2 linked regions of the Oryzias latipes genome follow. The protein of the gene in region 2 purifies or fractionates together with the protein of the main gene of each other region. This does not show direct contact. Links are inferred from orthologs where the notes say so. Each region holds a gene or a part of one and is shown on either strand. Other genes may lie near its edges.

Region 1 (4,311 bases), on a different chromosome or scaffold from region 2:
GGGTAGCGCCTGCACGCCATGCAACGCCACACGCTCTGTAGACGTCTATGGGATTTTGGCTTCGTGGAGCAAGCGGGTACTTCCTATATGGAACGTGTGGGGGAGGGGGCCATTCAATCCAGTTCTCATATGCAGTTCAACATATCAACATCATCTGACATTAAGCCCCGAACTAAAACTGTAAGTGGGTGTGGCTTCTTCCAGGTGAGTTCACATGTTCTTTGGGAATATGAGCTTTGACAAACTGAGAATCTCACATCGTGTTCTTTGATGATCCCCGGCGTGTCGTACAGCCAGTGGGCGTCCTTCAGCTCGTTGTAACTGAGCTCGTCATGTGACTGGTGCACAGCTGTCAGGGGGAGGAAGTTTAGATTTTTACATTTTTTTTAATTTATGGTCCACATTTGGAATCAGTGACATCACTCCTCATCTGTCCAATCACAGCTCACTTGTCTCTGCCGGCTCCTCGTCTTCTCCAAACGCCAAACTGTCTGGATCAAACTCAATCTCGTCTCTTTTGGGTCCATCGGATCGGAAAGTCCGCCCCACTCGACCTGAACAGGCAGACAGGTTTTCAGCGGGGACCCCCACACATCCCGTCCCTGCCACACCCAGACATCTTACCCACTAGGTACCCCTGCCGGCTCAAGTGCTGCAGCCTCTTCAGCTCGAGTGGGGTTAGCTCGTTCTCCATCTGCTGCTCCGCCTCCTTCAAGCGCTTCTGCCGCCTGAACATCCTGTACGGCGTTGGGTTGATGATGGGAAACTTCAGCAGGTTCAGAGTGGTCCCTGAACACACCACAGGAGGAGAAAGCAGCCACGTGATGACAGTGCTTAACAACTGGAATGTAAATGCACTTGAGCAGGGCGGGCTCTGACCGGGCCACGGGGAGATGGTGGCTTTGTGAATGACGTCTGAGGCTCTGGACTTGCAGTAGTCCGACTCCAGCAGCGTGTTGAAAAGAGTGGACTTCCCGGCGTTGGCACTGCCTACCAGGTACACGTCTCCTTTGTACTTCCAGGATCTCTGCAGGCTGGAGATCAGGGCCTCCACCCCATAGCCGGTCTTGGCGCTGATCAGGTGGATGTCCGTCACCTGACTCCCAAAGCCGGCTTGCTGGCAGTAACCGGAGAGCTGCCGCTTCAGTCTCTGGAGGTAGTTTGGCGAGTCACCTGGCAGCAGGTCGATCTTGTTGCCGAGCACGACGATGTGCTTGTTGGCGCCTACCAGGCCCGGCAGGTCGGGCACGATCGAGTCGGGCAGGTCCAGGAGGTCCACGATGAGCAGCACGAGAGCCCTGTGAGGCCGGATCTGCTGAACCACCTCCCGGTACTGCTCTCTGGTGAGCTGCAGGTTCAGCGCCTTATGGTGGTGGGTCAGCAGGTGGCAGCGTTGACAGATGGCTCCGCCCAGCTGGCCGTCCATCAGCAGCGCCTTGTATTTCTCGCTGGGCAGGTATCCAGGGACATCTGCAGCTGTGCAGTGCATCAAGGCGCCGCAGCCCGAGCAACAGGTGTCGCTGATGGGCTCCTCCACATCAGGGCTTCCAAAAACCTTGTGCCCACCTTTCCCTTCCACCCCTTTCTTCTTCTTCTTCTTCTTTTTGGAGTCTGCAGAGAGGATGCTCTCCTCCAGAGGGAAGTCCTTGTCCTGGAACTGGATGAGCGATTCTGGCCCCACGTTCTGCCGGGCCCCGCTCCTCAGCGCCTGCAGCTGCAGCTCCAAAGACCTGAGCTGCTTCTGAGGGGAGACTGCTCCTTCAGGAGTGGATTCTGTAGCAGTGGAGGAGACGCGGAGCTGACGGAGGAGCTCCTTCTCCTCTTGATGGGGGTCCTCCTCTGGACCTAAAGAGAGAACCCAAATACTTAGCTAATCAACATTTCTGATTGTTATGTTGTTGCTCCTTGTAGTGCATTTATAGTATATTCTGTATAATATCTTTAAATAAAAGCAGAAGTACCCGTCTCCATGTCAGACCTGTAGTCCCGCCTCCATGGGCGGGAACAGCTGAGAAATATAATTGAGAGAGGGATGCTTTTGGAACAGCAGGTCACCAGAGCGTTTGCTCTTCAATGCTGACCTGATCATGAACACGGAGAAACATTTCCCCCAAAACTACATGGATCTATTTCTCTGCCAGTGGATGCTTCAGAATGCAGCAGAGTGACCTGCCCACTGTATTTTCTACGTCACATAGGACATGATTTGAGTAAAGAAATACTCAGAAATGCAATTATTATACTCTTAATTTTCTTTGTCTGTGCAACACAAACCCTGTTGATGTTCAAGACTTCACTTGAATGAAGACATAAACTGCTGAATATTATTATTGTGGTTTATTTATGTATAGAATGTGTATATTTCAGGTAAAACCTCCCGTTTTAGAATCGATAGAGGCTGCAGCACCGCTGTTCACAGAATACTCTGCTGTCTCTGCTCACCTGAACAATCCACGAACACGAACTGCTCCTCCAGGTTCGGGTCCACGGTGCAGTCTCGGTCTCCGGTCCGGCTCAGTCTGCCCGCGAAGCCGCGACTGAGCCCGCGCGCCCCGACCGCCGAACAGACGCGCGCGCACAGCCGGCGGCGGACACACACCTGCAGCACCTTCAGCATGTCTGCCGGCGCGCGCTGCAGTACGACACCAGACTCACGAGGGCCTTGGAGCTCAGGAGCGCACGAGACTCACTACTGCCGCTAGTCCACTTCCGTGACGGATGTTACGTCACGAATGTTTATGTTCCGGGAATATGCTTGCGTTATTATTATGGTAAAATTAAGTTTCCAGATTTCTGCTTGACAGTGGAAACGTAAGAAACAACATTTAATGAGAACTCTCCGATTTTTTCTGGAAGGAATGTTTGTTATTAATTAAGCCTTTAAAGGATTTGACGTCACAGCGTAACAAGAAGAAGGCTTACTCTGTTGCAAATTCAGGATCGAGCGAGTCCTCTCTGACCTTTAGGGCTCCGATAGGAAGCTGAGCTGACCTCTATGGACCCATCAGGCTCATGAAGCGTGTGTCCTTTATTTGTGCCTCTAACGTGGAATCTGAAGGTTGTGGTGAATCGTACGCATCCCACCTGGTTTGTGAAGTAGGTAAGAAATTGTTTTTTTAACACAAGTACAAGAATTCCATGCTATAGAGATTGTCCAAGGAAAAGCATAGATTTGTGGCTATATTTGTTGTTTCACACATAATTTCTGGGTTGACCTTTACATTGTAAACAAACCGACAGCTGAGACCCCGTTTGCATTGATATTTTTCTCCCAGAGTGAGCGCTCTCGCCATCAGAGGATCTTTGCAGGTCGCGTTTCTTCAGTCCGACCAACATGTCGAAGCTGAGTGTGTTTCTGAGGTCCGCTGCGGTTCTTCTCAGACCTGCTGCCTCTACCTCACAGGTGAGTCCACCTGCACAGACCAAGACCTGTAAACCCAGAGGTGGACCTGCAGCTGCTGCAGACCGAACACACTGCTCTGACACCACAAGGAGTCCTCCTGCCCTGCAGGTCAACGCGCCAGTGACCCCATCTGCACACCCCACTTATTTCTCGTCCTCATCTCTAGTAGAGGGGAGAACCCACGTGACGGGGTTCTGTGGTTCGGTTCGGAACGTTTCTGTTGATCTTTGTCTGGATTAGAGTCAAACATTGACCGACAGCTTAGGGGCCCCGCAGGTTTCGTGGACCCTGAACTGGACAGGGCCTCCCGTGGACCCGTCTGCCTTCGTGGTGCGCGCCCAAACGTGAACGCTCGTGTCACGTAGCTCTCAGGTGCAGTTCAGTCAGATATCCAGAAGGGGGCGACAGTAACTCTTCATACTCCAGCTGTTTTCCTCAGAGCATCCTCTCCTGGGGGGTATTCCAGGAAGCATGTTCAAACTACCCTGACTTTAACCCTGAACTCTGGCTGAAATCCGCCTGAACGTGCTTACTCGGGGTATGTCTGAGCTTCTTCTTCCACTACACGGCATGCTGCTTCACCTCTCTGAAAACAAAGTAACCTTCAACTAAACCTGCTACAGACCAGGTTATGTTCAGAGCATGAGTTGCTATGGCAACTTGACATACCCTGAAACATACCTCTGTTTTTGGAACAGAAAGCTGAGGTTATCCGCTTCCTTAGCCTCAAAATTACCGTGGGAGCTAGCATAACCTGCTTTCTGGAATACCCCTCTGCTCTTGTTGCAATTTGTCTGGCTCCTCCCACTTGGCTGTTGCCAGGGTGATCACGTGACCTGTCTCCTCCTCTCTGCAGGCTCGTGCACGTCTCCACACTGGCCCCCAACAGGAGCACAAAACATTCTACG
Region 2 (2,516 bases):
GAGTTACAGTAAGCAAAAGAACATAGAAATGATCTCTTTGGGTTTTTAAAGAAGGAGGAAAAGTGACAGAAAAAAGATAAATTGAAAACATAAGAGGCTAAATTGAGATTTTTCCACATAATAAAAGGAATTTACTAGCTTGGGCATCCTTCCGTTTGCTGAAAGATCCACTGTTGCACTGATGGGTCAGTCAGGCTCTATTTCAAACGAGGATAAGAAACACATTCATTGCTTTTCAGCAAAACTATGAAAACATGTGCTGCTGTTTTCTAAAAGCCACTGGATCACAATGGGTCTTGTTTTGCCCCATACTTATTCATCCTGAGATGCATGCTGGGCTTTTTTCCCCAAGACCATGTGCTGAATACTGAATAGAGGCAGCATAATGTGAAATGAATGCATTCTGTGCTCCACAACAACAGCTTTTTCTCCTCTGGAGATCGATTATCTTTTCCCTTTCCAAACAAGCGCAGATCCACAATCTATGTTCTAGAAATCTGGTTCCATATTAGCTTATGCAGCACTTACTAAATTTGCACCGTCTGATTTTAAAGATTATCAGACTAACCGATAAACTTGTGTTTCCCTCTGTGATAGTAAATCCATTCCTCTGCAGGCAAAGAAGATAAAAATTAGAAAACATTACACACACACAAAACAAAGGAGAAGTAAAAGCTGTGATAGTACGAATATTTTAGAGCTTTCCCTGTATTCCTGAACACAATATCAGCAAATCCTTAATGAAAAGAACTCCTTTTTGGACATACTGCAACAGGTCATGACACACAAAAAGCAACATTTTTTTATACAAATAAGAGTTTATTTCTTTTGACCCAGACGTCCAGTTACATCTGAAAAATGCAGTAAATGATATATACAAAAGTAACAGGGTTGCATGCCAGTTTTGTATAGAGAAAAGCTTTTAACACAGAGCTCACAGAATCTCTACGCCTGCTGAGCTGCAGCTCTGGCAGCTAAGCGCTCCTGTTTCTCCTGCTCAGCCTTCTGCCTCGTCTCCTGCTCCCTCTGGATCAGCTGCCTCCTCTCAGCCTCCCAGCTCTGTACCTGGCTCAGGTACTCCTCCAGGTCTGGTTTTTCTGCATCAGCCAGCTGCTGCTCACACATAGCCGTCACCGTAGCCTTGAAGGAGGTGGGCTCTACTTTACCACGAGACTCAAGCTGGCTCATCAGCTCCTGGAGACCAAGAGAAACAAGAGGTGGTTGAAAGAACAAAACATTTGACATCCTTCAGAGTTTTTATCACAGCTTACATTTTCATGTTTGTCAATTGCAAGATGCTTCAAAATCCTGTTTTTCTTTTTAACTGTGTGCAGGTCTTGAACTTGACACCTTCAACTTGAACTCTTTAAATGAGCATTTGTGGTGTTTACAACACAGAAGCAGTTTCATTTTACTACCATTTGGCCTTAATTTGTGCAAATTCGACAGTGGCTAATGAAAGTGGGGCCTTTTTAAAAGATCATTAACAAAAGGCCAGGATTATGTAGCTCATTTTCCTCACACATGATAATGTGTATACAGAACAGAAGCATTGTTAAAATAAGAATAAAACAATTAAAAACATATACTTTGGGGTCTTGTTTGGGTCAAGAAAAACTGCGGTAAGATATTTTTTCAATGAAAACACTAAAAAAAAAAAAAAGCATTACCACAAATTAAAATGTAATAGTTCCTGGAATAAAACAAATACTTTGCGTAGATGAATGCTGTCAATTTGGAATAACTGGCTTTTATCTGTGGTTTTCTTTATTGATTATCTGCACAAGCCTAAATTAAAGTGCCTTTAAATTTTATGGGGTGCTTTATCTTTCTGCATTTATCCAATTTAAAAGGAGATTTTAAATTATTCTTAGAAGTGTGAAATCATTAGATGTACAAAATACCAAGAAGTTAATTCGTTTATGGAGAAAGCAAAGGGGGATTTTGGTCATTCTTGCTCAACCATTCATTAAACTTTGCCAGAAAGCTCTGAGATTTATTGCTGAAATACACTTTTTGTCTTTTACTAAATCACATTAATATGCAACTCTTGAAAGAATTAAAATGAAATTCCACTTCTCTGGCTCTACATACATGTAGCAACTGTTGATATAATTCATTAATACTCTCTGGGTTTGTAAAAAGCTTCTTTGAAATTAATCTAATGACATTTCTATGGGGAAAAATATATATTTCTCAGACTTCGATTCTGCAACATTTCCCATTTGAAAAGCTGAGGTCTGAAATGTTCCTCATAAATAAACTTAAGAGAAAGAATGTAAAATGGAATTCAGGAAATCCCATTATAGCATTTAAAAAGAAACAAAAGTTCACCTCAATACTTTGTAATGCAAGACTTTGGGTCAGGGAATGTTATGAGATGCAACTTTTCCTTTCATTTTAAAATGAGCCCACAGTGAACTGCTCACTCATATTTAATTGAAAAAACTCAACAGCTATACTACAGACATAACAGGAAACAGGGAAATCCTTGGAAGGAAAACTACCGTAAATCC

Evidence for each region.
Region 1: the proteins of mrps27 (region 2) and noa1 purify together in Homo sapiens (co-immunoprecipitation; 3 studies listed by BioGRID and IntAct, counting the BioPlex papers as one, with this or other methods). This does not show direct contact. The link is inferred for Oryzias latipes from reciprocal best matches to the Homo sapiens genes MRPS27 and NOA1.

The regions. Positions count from the first base shown.
Region 1 is NC_019868.2:3,207,801-3,212,111, forward strand, and holds the start of noa1 (nitric oxide-associated protein 1), read right to left. Parts: upstream 2,821-4,311; 5' UTR 2,618-2,820; coding exon 2,443-2,617; intron 1,846-2,442; coding exon 880-1,845; intron 790-879; coding exon 625-789; intron 555-624; coding exon 450-554; intron 350-449; coding exon 258-349; intron 1-257. Other genes in the region: protein NipSnap homolog 3A, read left to right, coding at 3,335-3,403, 4,260-4,311. UniProt on the Homo sapiens protein: Involved in regulation of mitochondrial protein translation and respiration. Plays a role in mitochondria-mediated cell death. May act as a scaffolding protein or stabilizer of respiratory chain supercomplexes. Binds GTP.
Region 2 is NC_019867.2:7,672,010-7,674,525, forward strand, and holds the end of mrps27 (28S ribosomal protein S27, mitochondrial), read right to left. Parts: intron 1,195-2,516; coding exon 946-1,194; 3' UTR 799-945; downstream 1-798. UniProt on the Homo sapiens protein: RNA-binding component of the mitochondrial small ribosomal subunit (mt-SSU) that plays a role in mitochondrial protein synthesis. Stimulates mitochondrial mRNA translation of subunit components of the mitochondrial electron transport chain.